2 linked regions of the Rhinolophus ferrumequinum genome follow. The protein of the gene in region 1 interacts with the protein of each later gene in a pairwise test. Links are inferred from orthologs where the notes say so. Each region holds a gene or a part of one and is shown on either strand. Other genes may lie near its edges.

What was found.
Region 2: the proteins of DHPS (region 1) and EIF5A2 interact in binary tests that used the Homo sapiens proteins (3 or more experiments, as listed by UniProt). The two-hybrid records come from large-scale screens. The link is inferred for Rhinolophus ferrumequinum from reciprocal best matches to the Homo sapiens genes DHPS and EIF5A2.

The regions. Positions count from the first base shown.
Region 1 is NC_046301.1:48,846,228-48,856,007, reverse strand, and holds the start of DHPS (deoxyhypusine synthase), read right to left. Parts: upstream 3,822-9,780; 5' UTR 3,355-3,821; coding exon 3,148-3,354; intron 3,009-3,147; exon of another isoform or gene 2,853-3,008; intron 2,528-2,852; coding exon 2,363-2,527; intron 2,121-2,362; coding exon 1,999-2,120; intron 1,917-1,998; coding exon 1,820-1,916; intron 1,739-1,819; coding exon 1,652-1,738; intron 1,174-1,651; coding exon 1,068-1,173; intron 992-1,067; coding exon 888-991; intron 88-887; coding exon 1-87. Other genes in the region: GNG14 (putative guanine nucleotide-binding protein G(I)/G(S)/G(O) subunit gamma-14), read left to right, coding at 6,814-6,906, 6,987-7,112; FBXW9 (F-box/WD repeat-containing protein 9), read right to left, coding at 7,968-8,042, 8,111-8,176, 8,254-8,343, 8,468-8,811, 9,685-9,776. UniProt on the Homo sapiens protein: Catalyzes the NAD-dependent oxidative cleavage of spermidine and the subsequent transfer of the butylamine moiety of spermidine to the epsilon-amino group of a critical lysine residue of the eIF-5A precursor protein to form the intermediate deoxyhypusine residue.
Region 2 is NC_046285.1:71,553,432-71,563,536, forward strand, and holds the start of EIF5A2 (eukaryotic translation initiation factor 5A-2), read left to right. Parts: upstream 1-5,857; 5' UTR 5,858-6,003; intron 6,004-6,684; 5' UTR 6,685-6,719; coding exon 6,720-6,884; intron 6,885-7,434; coding exon 7,435-7,539; intron 7,540-10,105. UniProt on the Homo sapiens protein: Translation factor that promotes translation elongation and termination, particularly upon ribosome stalling at specific amino acid sequence contexts.

The sequences.
Region 1 (9,780 bases):
CACAGCTTCGTCCGGCCGGGCACCAGAGTCGGAGCCATCAAACTCCTGGGCTGTGTTGATGTAAACAGCATAGTCGGCTCCATTCCGCTGTGGGGAGGGGCAGAGCAGGCGGTCAGCCAGGATGGACACACACACAGACACACACACACAAAGAGGGCACTGCAGCTAGAGAGACTGAGCCATTTGTCCTGGATGAAGGGAGGAGCCCCAACATGAATGCCTAGGCAGAGTGAGGGGTTACAAGGTTGCTGGGCAGATGGGCAGTGTTGCCCCAGACCCACCTCCTAGGTAGCAACAGTCTTCCCACATCTGCTCAGAGGGAGCTACTCCCAGCTCTACCTTCAGAAGACCTCTGAACCCCCTTGGTCTCCACCCTGGTCCTGGCCCTATTTGTTCCCCCCACAGTAGCCACAGGTCATCTGTGAGCACCTGAGTGGCTGCCCTCAAGGCCCTGCAAGTCCTGCCTGTCACCTCCCCACTTCACCTCCCACTCTCCCCTTCACAGTCTTTCTAGCTGTTCCTTGATTTACTTCAGGCATCTCAAAGCTTTTGCACTGGCTGTTCTCTCCGCTGGGAACTCTTCCAAGGCAACCACGTAGCTCATAGGAGGCACCTACCAAAAACCTGCTCCCGGGTCACATTTCCCAGAAAGTTTCCCTTTATTGAACAGTACCCTCTTTTTCTTGCCATCTTGTCATCCCTCAATTTTCTCTATGGCAATAACCATCAACTGATTTGATGTCAGTCCAAGGAAGGCAGGGATCCTGTCCTGTCTAGCCCATAGCTGTGTCCCCAGCACGTGGCATAAGCCTAGCACACAGCCATCTCTGCACAGCAGGCCCAAGTGCCACCCCCACACTAGGGTCCAGGTGCTCGTCCCTGCTTACCATGAGGTTGGCATTGGCGATGTGGTGCTTGACCACTCCCCCGCCCAGGATGATCATGCCAGAGTGCTTGGCAAAGATGGCCTGGGTGTTGATGAGCCTCAGGTCTAGGGAAGAGCGCTGTGGTCAGGCCCTGGGCCCAGCCAGCCCTCCTCCCCTGCTCCTCCGGCCCCAGCGCCTCACCCTCCACAATGTCCAGGACCAGGCCTGGGTTCTTGTAGGAATGGAAGAAGATCATGTCGCCCAGCGAGCCATCTGTGAGCGCTGGGCTCAACACGGGGATGTGGTTCTGGGGGAGGGCAGGACAGTGGTGGGAGTCAGCACCCGGTGCAGCGTTCCCTCCCTCTGCCTGTTCTGGGTGAGGTGCTGAACTGCTCTGGGCCTCAGTTTCCTTGAATCTAAAATGACGGTAACAGTACCTCCAACGTAGAGGTGTGTGTGAGAAAACACATAAAATATGTAAGAGCAAGCCTGACACACAGAATGGGAGCTCTTGTTACTTTTCTGATTGCTGGGCCTCATAGCCTCTGAGGAGCAGGGGACCCTACACCAGGAGGGTTGCTAAGCACTGCCCCAACTATTCCCAGGATATCAGGACTATACTCAACAGCTGTGTGACCTCAAACTGCCTAACCTCTCTGGGTCTGAACTTCCTGGTCTAAGAGTGCAGATGATGAGAACAGCATTGACTCCTCAGGTGGCTGTGAAGATAAAACAAGTTAACAGAGGCCAAGGCCTGGCATCTTTGCCCCCACCCAGCCCCTCACCTTCTGGGCCCAGTAATACACCGAATCTGGGTTGTTGATCTCCTTGCCTAGCCGGGCGATCATCTTGGACGGTGTCCACTTCACACCCTAGGAGGAGATACCAGCTTCAGCCAGCGGTGCTTCCCCTGACTCTCACCATGCTGGCCCCCCAGGTTGCTCCAGCCCCACCTCTGTGTTCTGCTCCAGCACCATCTGGTCCAGAATGGGCATCAGCCAGTCCTCAAACTTGCAATAATTGTCATTGGGCACCAGCAGGTTCCCGATCCTGGGGACAGGAGGCAGATGGGCATCAGGCCCCAGGTCCCTCAGCTTAGCTCCCCTGCCCAGCACCGCTCAGGGTTTCCCACCTGTTGATCCCGTTCTCACGTAGCTCCTTTCCCCTGAGGCTAAACTCGCCCAGGTATGTGGGTGCCAGGCACTTGATGAGATCTTCCTCCACACCCCCAGCTGTAGTCACCAAAACATCCACCTGCAGCCACAAAACAGTTACGTTGGCCCAGAAATGGGGTCCCTGCCCTCACTGTAGGCAGGACTGCTAACTCCCAACTTTCATCTAGTCACCTTGCAGGAAGCTCTGCTGCAAAACAAAACTCAATCCTGTCCCACAGCTTAAAATTGACTCATATCTCCCAATGTCACTAAAATGACCAAAAATCGTGTTGTCCATTTAGACCCAGAGAGGCCAAGACAACAGCGCCAGTGGTTCCCCACCATGTTGTGCTCTACGAGGTAACGGATGGTCTCACGGATCCCTGAACTGATGAGGTTGGATGTGTAGCCCAGGAAAATGGTACAGCCAGTGAGTGGGCGGCGGCTCTGAGTCAGGTCTGCGTGCTGGTCTTCATCCTGCGGCAGAGGCTCCAACTTCTTCTCTATCTACATGTAAGGGTGGGGTCGAGTTAACCTCAGGACCCAAACTCCAGCCCAAGGACCCGAGTGGTTTTCAGAATCAGACTCTACCCCCAGTCCCTGCCCACTCAGGGAAACGGGACCTTTTCTACCTGGAACCAGGAAACACGAGACCCCTCTGCAGCTTCCATCCCTGTCACAGCCCGGCTCTCAGGGCACACGATCACGCTTTGCCCCCATCCGGAGTCGGAAAGCATCTTAGCAGGACCCAGCCCCCTTCCCCGCTAGGAAGAGCAAATCCAAGGCCCCGCCCTGACTTAGGCTCCTTTTCCAATTCGTCCCTCAATCTCACCGTCTTGCCTCAGGCTCCGCCCATTCCAGGGCACTCACACGTAGCCAGCCCCAACCCAAAATCAGTGTCCATCACCTCAGGATACTAGGATGTCGCTGCTGGGTGGCAACGTCCCCTTCCCAACACACAAACCGCCGCCCCGGCTAGGCCCCGCCTCTCTCCAACTGTTGGGCCACCCCAACGAAGGACACGCCTCCTTCCCCAGGGGAGCCCCGCCCTTCCATCTACTGTACTGCGTTGGTGCTCGGAGAAGCCAAACCCCCCTCGACCCAGGAAGTCCCGCCCCCGGCCTCACCATGGCGTTGACTTGCTGCACCGCGCGCCCGAAGTTGGTGGCCTGGAAACCAGTGGTGCCGAAGGCCTCCAGCAGCGCGCGGTAGTCCACGCCACGGTTAAAGTCGTAGCCCCGGACCTGGGCGCTCTCGAAGGGCAGCGCCGAGCTGGGCTTCAGCACAGCAGCCCGCGCCGCCGCGGGCGCCTCCTCCTCCGGGGAACTCTCCATGCACCTGCGGCCGCGCTCTCAGATCAGTGCAGCCGCAGGCCAGGCCTCCAATGGCTTCCAAACGCGCTAAGCACTGGCACACGCTTCTCTACGAGAGCGCAGGAAAAACTGGAGACACGTCCGGAAGTTGCTGCGCTACATGACCCTCTCTCGACACCCGTAGTCCAGGACGCGGCCTGTTTTTGTAATACGGAAGCCGTACGGAGCCGTTGTTTCCTGTTTCGTGTGTTCTCTACTCACATGAAGAGTCTTACATTTACTGCCGCCTGCTGGAGACTCCCCGCGTTGCGGGGAGTCCATTCATTTCTGTTCCCTGAGAGGAAAGAATGTCTTCTTAGAATTCGAGTCATCAGGAACTGTCAAGACAGTTTCTGCCATTGAGCATCTCTCATCAAATAAGATATTGATCCCTTTTCGTGCCTTGCAAATCTCCAGAGCCTCCACATGCTGCATAACCCTCTGGTCTAATCCCAGCAGCCACAGTTGTCACCTCCTCTGGGAAGCCTTCCCTGACCTTCCTCTTGGTAAGTGACCTCCTCTGGGATCTAGGGCTGACATCTCGTTCCCTGCAGCAAGACTGTGAGACCCTCCAGGGCGGGGACTATATCTCATGGGTCCTCCTAACCATGCACAGGGTCTGGTCCAGAGGGGACACCTTAATCACTGTACATTTATCTATAATAATGTAGTCTATATTGTGCTATATGTTGGGCTCTGTGCTGGGTGCAGATTTAGCGGTGAACAAGATGCAAACCCTGCTTTCCTGGAGCCCACAGTTTCAGGAGACAGAAAGTTAACAGTGCTAAGTGCTAGTCAGGATTTCAACAGGATAATGCAAGAATCTTTGGGGTGGCGGTGGTTGGAGAGGTTGGTGGCCTTAGTTGGAGGGACAGGTGGTTGAGGAAGGACACCAAGGAGGTGACATTTGAGCCAAAGACAGAAGGCCAAGAAAGGCCCCATATGTGAGCTTATGGGGGAGGCCATTCTCCCACCGTCCCTCATTGGGAGAAAGAACAGCCTGTGCAAAGGCCCTGAGGCTGGAAATTAGCCTCCTTAATTGGAGAAACAACATCCTCCTTGACAGCCTTGACATTCCTGGCTTGGATCTCAAACTCACTACCTCTGCTTTCTCTCCACCTAACCCTGATCTTGCTGCATGCCGTCTTCCCCATCTCGGCAAACAACCCTCATCTACCAGGCTGAAAACTGGGGAGTTGAGTTTGATGTCTCCTCCCACACCCCACATCCATCCCCCAGCACATGTGCTAAATTCTACCTACAAAATGCATCCCAAATCCAAGTGCTTTTTTGTTGCTTTTTTAAAAATTGATACATGACATATATTAATGTCAGGTACACAACATAAGTCGTTTGCATGCAGGTGCTTATCATCCCAGGGCCTCCACACTGCACTCCCTCCAGTCCACGTCCAATCTCTGGCCAGAGAGTGTGTTAAACAGAAATCAGATGTGTTGTTCCTTTCTAAAACCTTCTAACAATGGTGGCTTCTCCCTGGGAGTAGAATCCAGGCTGTTCACCATGGCCTCTGAAGGCGCATGCTCACTTCCCTGCCCTCATCTCCCACCACTTGCCCTCACACACTCCTCTCTAGCTACACCAACCCCCTCACTGTTCTAGAACCCACCACGCTCTTTCCTGACCAAGGGACAATGCACCTGCTGCTCTCTGCCTAGGACATCCCTCCCCCAGCTCCTTCTCTTCTGGGCCTCAGTTCAGACTGTTACCTGCATGAGGCCTGCCCTGAACACCCACTTTTGCCCTTACCTTGCTTTTGTTGTCTTTCACAGCACTTAATACGTTTTGTTTGAGTAGAATGGCAGCTCCGTGAGGACGGGATTGTGCCTGGTTTCACTGCCAGCCCTCTTACTCCGCACAGTGCTGGACACATTGGGATCTCAGCAAAGATGCTAAATGAATGAATGAACACACCCAAGGGCATCAGTGTCATCCATGAGGAATGAAGGAGGGAGCAGTTGATAGATGAAGGAGGGCAGAAGGTGCCAGACCAGGCAGGATCATGTGGGTTGTAGTAAGGAGACTGAGAAATCCCTGGAGAGTTTGAAAAAGGAACTGAGAGACTACACATCAGATTCACCATCTTAACCATTTTTAAGTGTATATAGGTCAGTGGCATGAAGCACATTCACACTATTGTACAACCGTCCCACCGTCCATCTCCAGAACTTGTTCATCATCCCAGACTGAAACTCTGTCCCCATTAAACACTAACTTCCCATCCCCCACCATCAGCCCCTGACACCCACCATTCTACTTCCTGTCTCTACTCTAGGGACCTCATATAAGTGGAATCACACAGTATTTGTCCTTTTGTAGCTGGCTTATTTCACTCAGCATAATATCCTCAAAGTTCATCCATGTTATATTCTGATTTACTTTTTAACAGATCCCATTGGCTGCCTTGAGAATGGTGGCAGTGGTGGGGAGGGCAGGAGAGACCAGGCGGGGTGGGGGGTGGGGGGCGGCTGCACTTGTCCAAGTGAGCAAAGATGGTGGTGGGACCCACGTGGTGGTGGAAGGAAGTGATGAGATTGAGAACCTAATTTGAAGATTGATCGTCTGGCTCTTGAGAAGGAATTAGATGTGGGAATACCAGAAAGAAAGGAATGAAGGAGTTCAAGATTTGGGCCAGGGCAACTGGGTGGATGGTGGTACATCTGGGGGCAGAAGATCTGGGGGGAAGATAATCCAGAGTCCAGCCTGGCCAAGTCAGGTGAGAGACACCAGAGAGAGACAGGTGGGATGGACTGAGGAGAGCGGAGGGTCCTCACGTGGGTCTGAGGTCTGCGATGGGGCAGAGGAAGACTTCATCATAAGTGGGTGGACTGAGTCATCTGTGGAATAGACCCCTGGGCAGTGAGTGCAGACAGAGCAGAGGCAGGGCTGCACCGGAGCCGGGGACACTCTGCTTGTTGGTGTCCCATGTTGGTGGGGGGGTGGGGGACAGAGGCTGACAAAGGAGGGTGTCGGGGCCAGTTAGCAGGAGATCAGTCAGGTCAGTGAGAGACCAGGGACCTGCAATCCCCCTGCCAAGGTGACACATGACCATGGGGCAGCCACCAGGTCTCCTGGGGCAGGGAACCCTTTGGCTGAGGCAGCTGCTGCTACTGTCACTGGTGACATTTTACTCCATGAGTGTCCCAGCTTCAAAGTCTCTGCAGGGGTAGGGGAGGGCAAAGGGGCTGGAGAGGCAGGGGGGTTGGGAAGGAGGCAGAGCCAGGCTGCAGGAGGAGGACTGAACAGCCAGGAGTCAGCCGTAGTCCTCAGCTGAGGTGTGTGGTCCTGCTGGGCGGGGAGCAGCCACCACATCCTGCAGTTCCTAGGGGACATCAAAGGAGGTGCAGGGACCCTCGGGTGGCCCTAGGACTCCAGGTCTGGTGTTCACCCTGATGTTTATGGTCCTGCTCACCTTACCCCCAGATGTCTGGCAAGGTGGCCACTGGCAGTGACATCGGGCAGGCCCGCCGGGCCGTGGAGCAGCTGCGGATGGAGGCCGGCATGAACCGTGTGAAGGTGAGGGTGGGGCGAGGCGGGCACCTCTGGGCGAGGGGGCAGAGGGTCCGCGGGGTCTGGCTGACCAGGCTGGCCTACAGGTGTCCCACGCGGCTGCCGACCTGCTGCAGTTCTGCATGGAGCAGGCCAAGAGCGACCCCTTCTTGGTAGGCATCCCGGCTGCCACCAACCCCTTCAAGGAGAAGAAGCCCTGTGCCATCCTATGACGCTGGCCCTGAGGACCCCTCAATAAACATGAAGTGAACACTCCTCAGGGTTTGGTGGGCTGCAGTGGGGGGCGAAGTGGGGCTGTGGGCTGGCAGGGGCACCTGGCCCAGCCTCCCCCGCCCCCTGCAGGGTCACACCCACCCTGGACTGGCTAAAAGAGCACGTACCTCCACCCGTTTGCCCCACACCTATGGGCTAGCCTTAGCAGATCCCATCACCCTCTGCAGAAACACATCCGGAGGCAGCGTCCCTAGCTTCATGCCAACACATACACACATACTCGTCACTCCTGTCCACTTGTCTCACACACACAAAGGTGCCATCATACAGACTGCTGCCGACGTCCTCCAGAATCTGTCTTCCTCTCATACACATACACTCACAGGCACACAGACAGGCGCAGATGGGATTTGGGGTTAGAGTAACAACACACACAGCCAGCCTGCCTCCCCAGGGACACACAGACACATAGGATCCCGGAATGCACTTGAGCGGGTACAGGCACACCCAGACACAAACAGCAGAGGCTGTCACCGAGGCTTGCAGGTACCACTCAGGGCACAGCACCAGTATATCAGGTTTATTTCTCCTGCACTTTCAAGGGAGAGCAGGTACCCAAATCAACAAAAACGGAGCCCAAGGGTGGGGAGCAGCCCTCTGGGTGGGCCAAAACACCAACCTCACCTCCCCTGGCTTGGGGCCCAGCCCAGGGACCCCACCCAAATGTAACGGGGGCTCCTTGTGCCCCAGGCCTGTGGGCCAGATTAGGGGCAGCACCAGCGAGGGGGAGGGTCCCCCAAGAACCGGCCGGTCAGCAGATCCACATCCACACATCCACGTCCACGTCTGCCTGCTCAGGCCTGCAGCCTCCAGACCTCCAGCGACAGGCCCCCGGAGGCAGCTACCACCAGGTTGCCCTCAGCACAGATCTGGACAGGGACATGAGGATTCAGGGGCGCTCTGGGCAGCCAGCAGGGCATAGAGGGCAGAGCCTTACCCCATTTAGCACGTTGTGGTGGCTTCGGGTGCAGATGGTCCTTGGTGGGTCTGTGGGCACGTGCACCTGGTTAGGGGGCAACAGGCAAAGTCAAGAGATGTGTTCCTGGCCAGGGGGGGACGGGGCCTGTCCAAGGTCCTCACCCGAATGGTCTTGTCAGTGGACGTGGTGTACAAGGCCCCCAGCGAGTGTTTGATCCCTGTAATCTGAGACCTGTGGCCCACATCAAAGGTCTGCAGGAGGAACAGGTGACACTCAGATGGGTCTCTCCAAGGCCAGCACCCCACTGCCACCAAGGGTTAAGGGGTAGGGAGGAAGCCCAGGGAGAGTGGGGCAGAGACAAGGGCCCTGGCCAACCCGGACAAGCTGGAAACAGCCTTTCCGGTTGGCGAAGACGTGCAGCAGGCCCTGGTTGTCGCCGGCCCAGAGCTGGGGCTCTTGGTAGGACATGCAGAGTAAGTAGGAGTCCAGCTGTGGGAGGGACAAAGGACAGAGCAGCTCAGGCTGGGCCACATGCAGCCCCGGTCCCTCCAGCCCCTGGGGAGGGCCCACCTGCAGCCGCTGCAGTACACTGTTGGCCCTGCGGTCAAACACCACGAGTGTGTGGTCCTCACTGCCCGAAATGATGTGCCGGTCATCCGCCAGCAACGCCAGCACCGCGCTCGAGTGCAGCCGCCGGCTCTTCAGCAGGGCTGGGCCAGCTTCATGGGTGATGGGCCCCGAGAGGAGGGGGACATCAGAGCTCCTCAGAGGCCTCTCAGACCCACCCGAGGATCCCTGTCCTCCGTGGCAAAACCCTCGGTTGGCTTCCCTCCCCACCCCCCATCCCTCAGGTGACCCTGTCTCTCTTTTTCTGCCCCAGCTGGATCTGGGCCTCCCAGCATCCCCAGGCCTCTCCGCCCCAACCCCCATCTTGTGTCCCATCTCCCTCCTCTTGTCCCATCTGCTCTCAGTACAGAGTGGACAGCCAAGTCCCAGCATAAAATGCCAACCAATGCCAGGAGACGCGTGCCTCTATCCCCACCACCACTCAGCTCTGCCCAGATAAGGCACGCTGGCCCTTCAATTAAAATTAGAATGAATAAACAACAGAAAAAGCTTATGTTCCAAGCAGTGTTTGTTCTAGGCGTTTTATGTAAACTAATGTTTAATCCACCAAAGTACTAATTGCCATCTCCTCCCATTAACCATATGGGGCTGGAGTTGTTACCCAGATTTTACAGATGGTGAAACCAAGGTTCAAGCTTGACTGGTGTCTTACAGCTAGGGAGTTGGGGAGCCAGGATTGTCAGGGGCTGTCTGCCTCCCGGGGGATTCCAGTTCGGAGGCCCCTCCTCTGGGCATCCTCTGTCCCTCACCCCACCCCAGGTGAAGGTGGGGCTTCTTCTACCCCCTCCCCACCTCAGACATCGCCTGTGTTGCCTTCAGCACAGCATAAGTCACTCTTGAGTGGTTAGCATCTGCTTCTGTGACTCTCACCCCAGCCAGGTTGTGGGCCTGAGTGTCTCCCTCCCCCGCATGACCCTGGAGCCCCCAGGCAGCCTTGCTCTCCCCAGTTCGGGCCCCCAGCCCACCTCTGGGATCGTAGACTGTCACCTTCTTGTCATAGGTGCCAGTCACCAGGATGTCAGGCCGGTAGGAGAGGCACAGCACAGCTGCCTTGCCCCTGG
Region 2 (10,105 bases), on another chromosome or scaffold:
AATACTTGTTGTCTCTTGTCTTTTGGATAATAGCCATTCTAACAGGTGTGAAGTGATATCACACTGTGATTTCATTTTCATTTCCCTGATGATTAGTGATATTGAGTACCTTTTCATACCTGTTGGCCATCTGTATGTTTTCTTTGGAAAAATGTCTATTCAGTTTCATTGCCTCTATTTAAATCAGATTTATTTTTGTTATTTTTTTTTGTGAGTTCTTTATATATTTGGGATATTAACCTGTTATTAGATGTAGAGCTTGCAAATATTTTCTCCCATTCCATAGGTTGCCTTTACATTTTGTTGATAGTTTCCTTTGTTGTAAAGAAGCTTTTTTAGGGTGATATAATCCCACCTGTTTATCTTTGCTTTTGTTGCCTTTGCTTTTAGTGAAAAAATCCAAAGACTCATTACCAAAACCAATGTCAAGGAGCTGCCCTATATTTTCTTCTAGGAGTTTTATAGTTTGGGGTCTTATGTTCAAGTCTTTAATGCATTTTGAGTTGAATTTGTGTATGGTGTGAGATAAGGGTTCAGTTTCATTATTTTACATGTGGCTATCCAGTTTTCCCAATACCATTTATCCTTTCCCCATTATATATTCTAGGCCCCTTTGTTGTAAAGTAATTGGCTATATAGGCCTTAGTTTATTTCTGTGTTCCTTTTCTAGTCCATTGATTTATACGTCTGTTTTTATGTCAATATCACACTGTTTTGATGACTATAGCTTTGTAACATAGTTTGAAATCAGAAAGTGTGATGCCTCTAGCTTTGTTCCTCTTTCTCAAGGTTACTTGGCTATTCAGTTGTTTGTAATTCCATACAAATTTTAGGATTTTTCTATTTATGTAAAACATGCCAATGGAATTGATAGGAATTGCATTGAATCTATAGATTGCTTTGGATAATATGGACATTTTACTAATATTAATTCTTCCCCATGAACATGAAATGTCTTTCCATTTATTTGTGTTTTCTTCAATTTCTTTCATCAAAGTCTTATAGTTTTGGTGTATAGGTCTTTCACCTTGATTACATTTATTCCTACGTATTTTATTCTTTTTGATGCAATTGTAAATAAGACTGTTTTCTTAGTTTTTCTTTCTGATTCATCATTGTTAATGTATAGAAACAAAACTGTTTTTGTATATTGATATATCTTGCAACTTCACTAAATTCATTGATGAAGTCTAACAGATTTTTTGGTGGAGTCTTTAGGGTTTCTATATGTAATGTAATGCCATCTGCAAATAGAGACGATTTTACTTCTTCTTTTCCAATTTGGGTGCTGTTATTTCTTTTTCTTGCCTAATTTCTCTGGTTAGTACCTCCAAGACTATATTGAATAAAAGCAGTCAGAGTAGGCATCCTTATCTTATTACTGATCTTAAAGGAAAAACTTGCAGCTTTCCACTATTGAGTATGAAGTTAACTGTGGGCTTGTCATATAGGGCCTTTATTATATTGAGGCCCTCTATACACAGTTTGTTGAGAGGGTTTTTTTTTTTTTATCATGGATGTATGTTGAACTTTGTCAAATGCTTTTTCTGCATCTATTGAGATGATCATATAATTTTTATCATTCATTGTTAAAGTGGTGTATCACAGTAATTGATTTGCAGATATTGAACCATCCTTGCATTTCCTGGAATAAATTCCACTCCATGACAGTATACGATCCTTTTCATGTACTATTGAATTGGTTTGCTAATATTTTGTTGAAAATTTTTGCATCTATGTTCATCAGAGATACTGACCTGTAATTTTCTTTTTTTTTTGTAGTGTCCTTGTTTGATATATAGCATCAGGGTAATGCTATCCTCATAATATAAGTTTAGAAATGATCTTTCCTCTTCAATTTTGGGGGAAAGTTTGAGAAGAACTGGTATTAATTATTTAAATGTTTGGTACAATTCACTAGTGAAGCCAAATTTTCTTTGTTGGGAGGTTTTGAGTACTGATTCAGTCAGCTTAGTAGTAATAGGTCTGTTTAGATTTTTCTATTCATGATTCAGTCTTGGTAAGTTGTATATTTCTATCAATTTATCCATTTCTTCAGGTTGTCCAGTTGGTTGGCATATAATTGTTCATGGAGTCTCTTCTGATCCTTTGCATTTTTGTGGTATCATTTAGGTCTATCAATATTTGCTTTATATATTTAGGTGCTCCTATATTAGGTACATAAATATTTATAATGTTATATCCATTTGTTGGATTGACCCCTATATCATTATATGACTTTCTTTGTCTTTTATTACAGTCTTTGTATAAAAGTATATTTTGGCTGATAATGTATAGCTATCCTAGCTTTCTTTTGGTTTCCATTTGCATGGATTGTCTTTTTTCATCCTGTTACTTTCAGTCTGTGTGTGTCCTTAAAGCTGAAGAGAGTCTCTTGCTTTTGCTTTAACCATCGTCTATATACTGGTGATTCACAAATATCTTTCTCTATTTAAGATATCTCTCTCCCACAAGAATCTTAAACTCGATTTGGCCAAAAGTGAACTCAACTTGCCATGGAAACTTGCTTTTTCTCTTATATTTTCTATCTCAATGAATGGTACCACCATTCCCCCAGTCGTTAATTTGATGCTTTCCTATTCTTCTCACCCAGTGTCTCCCTTCTCATTTCGACTTCCAACATTACTTAGGACATTCTTTCCACCTTCCCTTGTAATTCTCTTGAATCTGTCTTCTCTATGTTCTCACAGTCACCACCTTTGTTCACCAACATTAACTATTTCTTCCTAATTGGTTTCCTATTTCCAATATTCTCTCCCCCTAAAAAATTCTCCATATCATGATCAGAATGGTCTTTCTAAATTAAAAAAATACATCCTTGTCATTTTCTTCTATATACGGTTTATATATCTTTCTATTGCCCTTGAGAGAAAATCCAGATTCACCCATCTCTTTTTACTACTTTATCAGTCACATTAAACCAGTGGAGGTCCAGAATGATGTCACAATTCTGTCACTTATAGGTTTTTTGTACCCCTAATCCCTCTACCTAAAATGCCTTTTCCAAACCTCTGTTCATTGCTTACTACTCCTTATTTTTCAGATGTCAAATTAAGATATCACTCCCAGAGAGGCAGTCTCAAGATCTTCTAGACCTGTGATGCCCTATATGATAGCCACCAGTCACACAGTCACTGAACCCTTAAAATGTGGCTAGTCTGAATTGAGATGTACTCTACACCAGGCTTTGAAGACTTAGTATAAAATAATCTTATTAATAATTTTTATACTGGTACATGCGAAATATTATTTTAGATGTACTCAGTTAAATTTCAAACTATATTATTGAAATTAATTTCATCTCTTTTTACATTTTAATGTGGCTACAAGAAAACTCAATTTATATGTGGCTTGCATCATACTTCAATTGAACAAAACCTAGACTAGATGAGAAGGAGCCCCCTTTTTCAACATCCTACAGTTACTTCTTTAGTAGCATGTATTATAGCTGCTAAAATGCTAGCTTGTATCCTGCACTAGACTTCAAGTACATAAAAAACAAGAGGATGTCGTGGTCAACATGATAATTTCAGCACTAAGGGTGCTACAATAAAAACAGTCAATTCTCCTTATTTGTGGATCCCATATTTATGAATTTCCCTACTTGATAAATTTACGTATAACCCCAAAATCAATACATGAGATGCTTTCACAATCATTTGTGGACATGCACAGAACAGTGGAAGATTTGAGTCATTCAACACATATTTTCCTGACTAAGGTCAAACAAGGCCATGCTCTGCCTTCTATTTTCAACTGTCAAATGGTAAACGAGTTTTTTTTTCAGTCTACCTGTGCCACTTTTTCACATTTTTTTGACTTTTGTTGGTGACTTGACTGTTTAAAATGACCCTGAGCATAGTGCTGAAGTGCTGTCTAGTGTTTTTAAGAATGAGAAGGCTGTGATGTGCCTTACAGAGAAAATACATGTGTTAGATAAGCCTCCTTTGGACATGAATTGTAGAGCTGTTGGCTGTGAGTTAAATGTTAATGAATCAATATAGATTAAATAAACACATATAATACAAGATAATATATTGGTCAGTTGATGAAAATGTTGTGACCAGAAGCTTACAGGAACCTAACTTTGCATTTCTCCTAGAAGTAACGATTTTGTGTTCCGGTGACTTCACTAGCCTCAGCTGTATTTATTTAATGAATGAAGCTGGATCATTTTGATTCCAAATCCAAATCTTATGTGAATTCACTATGATGCATATGATGGTAGTTAAAGCAGTGATTATGGAGCCAAACTGGCTAGAGTTCAATGTTGGCCTTCTGACTTGCTAGCTGTGTGATTTGGAGCAAATTACTTAACTTTTCTCTGCCCTTTTCCATAACTGAAAATGTAAATAAAATAGTTGTTAATGATTGCCATGGGCTGCACGTGAGGGAGGGGACTGACCAGAAGAGGGCAGGAGAAAACTTTTAGAATGAGGAAATATTCTATATCTTGATTATAGTGGTATTTACACAAATGTTTATGTTCTTCAATATTCATATAACTAAAACCGGTAACTTTTACTTTGCATAAATAACTTAATAAACTTGAGGTTGAAAGAGAGTAACAGCCAAGAGTAAATAATGCACGTAAAACAATTAACTACCCGCTTACATAAATACTCTTTAAATATTAGCAAACACTCTTAATAACAACAGACAGGAAAGGTTAGGTAATGTAAGGAAAAGCAGAGTGGGCTCACGAACTGGATTCTAATCCGGCTATTTCTATTAGCTAGAGGCTGAGTTGTTTATGGGAGTTCCCCTGTTTATTGCAAAGGTTAAGTTACACAGCATGTGTGAAATATCTGTGTAACTGTAGAGCCACATAGGAATGTGAAAAATAGGACTGTTCATGAGACAGCAATACGAAATCACAGGGCCACATAAACTGGGGTGTGGAAGTCACCTCTCCAAGGTAGGAAAATGTGGTGGGTTGTGAAATGAAACCATGAAAAAGGGCTCACATCTTTTTTTAAAAAACTTTGGTCCTTAATCCTATACAAGTCTCTACTGGCTACAGATAACCCAACCATTCTAAGGAGGATGGACATATCTGTAACTCGATAGAATGCCAACGCCAGGAGGAAAGAGCTGAGTTTGGCAGAACACCTTCCTGAATTGGACAATGTGGTACCAGTTAGACATCCACTTGCCTCCACAACTCCCTAACAGCTTCCGGAGGGAGAAGTGAGTTAGGTCATTTCACCACTGCTTTTTAGTTCAGTTCAAGAATGTCTCACGAGTTCCCACCCATGGGAGTGGGCAGGGCACCCAGGGGCAGTCGCTGCCATGAGTCATAATGGGTGGCTGGGGTTCTCTGCAGAGCATGCAGTGTGCATCTGGAAAATAAAATACCGCACTTGGACTCTTCCTGGAGGAACAAGCTGGGTTTGACTACCAAAGAGGGCTGCAAGATGGACCAGAAGTTGGAACCCAAAGTTTCCTCCACAGCCACACTGGCATCCATTGAGATCTCTTGCCTCTCGAGTTTTGACAACCTACAAGTAACAACTGGCACGCACCTGAGGGCAGGGGCCACCATGCGCGCGGCCCAATTCCCATAAACTTCCACTGAAACTTGAACACAACGAACCTAAAAGTTTGCAGCAGGAAGTTTCTTTGCAAGCGAGTTTACCCTCAGCAACCCGCCTCCAGAAAATGCACTTCACGCGCCGGAAGTGCACTAATCCGCAGCACGTGGGGTAGCCAGGACGCTCTTCACGTGACTAGGCGGGGCCTCAGGAAGCTTGTAGCCAATGGTAGCCTGGAAGGGTGGTGCCTGTGACGCGCCGGACCTATCCCGGAAATGGGACTGAGGTGGGGGCGGGAAAGGGCGGGGAGGCCGGGGTGTGGAAAGTGTGGCGGCCCCGCCCTGTCTCTTGGAACTACCGCGGCCGCCACCGCTGCCGCTGCCGCCGCCGCCGCTGTAGGGGACCGGCGCGGGTGCGCAGGCGAAAGCAGCTCTTTCTTTGCTGAAAGGTAAAGACATGGGGGAAAAGTGGTGGGGTTGGGACCGGAGCGAGGCAGGGCCGGGAAAGGCGACGGGAGTCCCAACGAGGGAAAGAGGAAGGCTGGATGGGAGAACGGAGGCGAGCGCGGCACTCGCCAGGGCTCAGGCCCGTGCGGGGCCGAGCCGGGCCGAGGATGCCTGCAGGACAAGGGGGCGCCTGAGAGGCCGGGGATAGCACGCCGCAGCCGGGGACCGGAGTGCGCGCCAGATGCGCGAGGGCCAGGTGCTGCTGGCCTGGTCATGTTATCCCCATCCTTCGCGCGGACGTGCGGCCTGGGCTGGGTCCCCCGCAGTGGGGATCAGGGCGGCGGCGGAGGGCCGGGCGGTGCGGCGCTGTGCGGAAAGGTCGCCGGCTCCGCCTGCGGTGGGACGATGGGGGCCGGGATTTGCTGCTCCCAGCCTGGTGAGCCCCCTGGGCGGGTATCCTCCACCCCCCAGCTCGCTCTCTGCGACTTCCTTCCCCACCTTCCCATCAATGGATGGAAAAGTTTGTAGAGGCCAAGAGTTAGAAAGCGCCCACTGTTCTTGGGTGGGTCTTCTATAGATGCAAAAATAATAGATCCACGATGCTTGGCACGTAACCTGTCCGAAATGAGATTTTTCGTTACCTGATTGCCCATTGTTAAAAAGCAAACAAACTTTTTGCGTAGTTCCCTCCGAAAAGCTACCATCTCCCCAGCCCACCATGGCGGATGAAATTGATTTCACTACTGGAGATGCTGGGGCTTCCAGCACTTACCCTATGCAGTGCTCGGCCCTGCGCAAAAACGGCTTCGTGGTGCTCAAAGGACGACCATGCAAAATAGTGGAGATGTCAACTTCCAAAACTGGAAAACACGGTCATGCCAAGGTAAGTGCCCTTCCAGGTCTGTCTTTACGTTGAGATTTTGATCATTTGTATTACATTACAGAACATGAGATTTCTGTACTTAGAACTTTGTAATAAGCACTTTTTTTTTCTTCCCACTATTACTGGGTGTTCAACTATCGTTTTGAATACTGAAAGGTAGCATTTCCTTCTTGAGCTCTTATAATGTTTCATTAATTGGGAACTGAAACTTTCCTGAATCCCAGTGAGTCAGAAGATCTGTTCAGTTTACAGATGAGAAACCCTGTTCTAACATAATTCCAAGGAACCTAAGTTCATTTTTCTTGTGCACTCTTATAATTGAATTACTGCACTATATAGGATTTGAGTCTTGATATGTCATGATACCATTTAGTTGTTCACTGCTTCTCAATTTTATGACCGCGACATTTTTTTAAGAAAGTAAAATTAGATGACCTTGAAAGGAGAAATAATCTGCTATAATCAGCGTTGGTATTGTGCTCCTGTGTATGTAATGAGTGATATACTTGGCAAAGATTAAACAGGTTTCCTGTTCTCCCTTCTTTGTTAGGTTCACCTTGTTGGAATTGATATTTTCACCGGCAAAAAATATGAAGATATTTGTCCTTCTACTCACAACATGGATGTTCCAAATATTAAGCGAAATGATTATCAAGTAAGTACTAATTTCCTTTAGAATGCTTGTTTCTTAAAGGTGTGAATACATTCTACTATCAATTGTAATTTAACAAAAGGCCGTAGTAGTTTTGTAGGCTTTTCTAACGAATTATCAGTAACCACTTAGAAATTGGAGGAATAGTTATATTTAACTCTTGTACCTTATTTAGGATTATTCTAGTTTGCTATTTTTTAAAACATTCTTGCATTTTAAAAAAGTTGAACACTTCTTATTGTTTCACAAACCAAGTAACTGTATGTTGTGACTGAACAAGTTTAGCGCTAATAAGATTACTACCGTCTTTGTTGTAAAATATTTCAATTTTAGATAACTCCTTCTCAGATGTTTTATGTCTTTTCATTTGTCAGACCTAAGATTTTCAAGAAATTAAGAAATTATTGGAATTCATGTTCCACCAACCAAGTTTGTGTACTAATGAATATGAGTCAGATTTTGGTATTCTTAAATAGGGAAATAAGTTAAAAGCCTTAAATATAAAGGATAAAATACATGGTCACTGAATATGGTGAAGAAAATACAAAAACTGTGTAATTGTTTTATTTATATTCAGTGACCATGCTGTGACCTTTTGTTAAATTATAGGTATAAACTTCAAGTTTTAGTTCCAATTATACATTTGGGTAGGTCATGTTTAATGATAGCATTTTGTTGTTTGGAGTATTGATAGTAACCAAACCATTGACCTCATAGGATGTGGGAGCTCAGATTAATCATAATTAAAGTCTTCTTTTGAAAGTCTTCAATTTCTATATCTAGCATACCATGTATGGTATTCCTTTCTGTTCTTTTTACATAGTGAAAAATGTGAGTGTGACAGATTTGTTTTATCCAGTTAAATTGATTTCCTTTTATACCTTTTATTGTACTGTATAATTTTTAAAGAATGTTACCGTCAACTGTAATTACCCAATGATTTCCTTTTACTCTTTGTCCACTTGTAAACATATTTTTACATGGTTTTAATCTAATAAGCAGTTTTATATTTTCACTTTCCCATTTATCATAAATATTTTCTAGGTTGCATCGGAGTCTTTGTAGAAATTTGAATTTTCTTAGTATAATAATAGTGTTTTTTTAGTCAAACAGGTCTGGGTTTGGATCCAGTTCTACTATTTTCTAGCTGAATGTTCTTAGATAAATTACACAACCTCTCTGAGCCTCACTCTTTCCATCTCCAAAAGAGAGATAATGTGAGGAGTAAATGAGAAAATGTACCCCACAATCACCTCCTGAGTAGATGTGTATCAAAAAGCAGTTATTTTCTGCGCCCCCTTTCCTGTATAAAAATTCCACTTAATCATTCCATTATTCTTGAAGTACCTAATTTAGACAAGCATAGAATTTCCTTTTGCCTCAAATGAATTTCTGTTTTCATCCTTAACATATGAATGCTTTGAATATTCAGTATTCATAATATTCATTAATATGCATTCAACATAGAATGCTTTTGCCTTTGGATGTTTCAGAAAGATGGTATCAGTAGTTCAGATAATTACTACTGTGATCAATTTAGCCAATTATTGATTAGCGCTCAAGAGTTAACGTACATGAAAAATTTGATTTGGGTTTTGTTTTGGGATGTAGCAGGGTCCAGACTAGGGTGAGGGGTATAGGTTAGTGAGCCCCCTAACCTAGAGTGCAAAATTTTAAATAAAAATAGGACCAGAAATAATGCCAAGCCATGTAGGAGCCTAAGGCAAAAGGAAAAATCAATAATTGTGATTCTGTCTTTGTTTAAAATTTTGATATTTTGTTCATTATGGAATTTTTATCCTAATTCTATTTTTTAAAAATATTTCATTAAAATATTTATCCGATCACTGATGGTTCTTTTTGGTGCCACCTTAAATTTTACACCCGAGACAAGTGCTTCACTTGCTTCACTCCAGTCCCAGCCTGTGGTGTATAGTTTGTACTGCAGAGTGGGTAAGAGAGTGACTCAAACCAGGCAGTCTGGGTCCACATTCTTGCTTCGACATTATCTGTGTGACCTCAGTTGGCAAGTTACTTAACCTCTTGCCCTCCTTTCCTTATTTATAAAATGGGGATAAGAATCATAAACAACTCATGGCATCATTGTGAGGTTTAATTAGTTACTACTTAGAACAGGGCCTTACATAGTAAATACTCAGTGATCACATCCCTTTATTATCAAGTCACCATAGAATACTTATATTTGCTCATTTAAAATAATTAGCTCTGTGAGCCTTTCCAGTTATATTTATTGTGCTACGGTGATCTTCACTCACCTAGCCAAGTGCCTTGATTAAATCCCTACTTTTCTTATTATTTGGCTACATGAAGTCCTTTGTATTTGCTTTTTTTCAGTATTTCAAGTGCCAGTTTGGCAGTCAGCTGAAATGAATATATAAATGTTCATATACATATATATATACACACACATATGTATATACACACACACATGTATATATATACACACACATATATATATGTGTGTGTGTAAATTAAAAAGTAAATCTTTGTTTAGGAATATTTACAATTTCAATTTTGTATATTTTAAAATAAGTTCAAAATAAGAGAA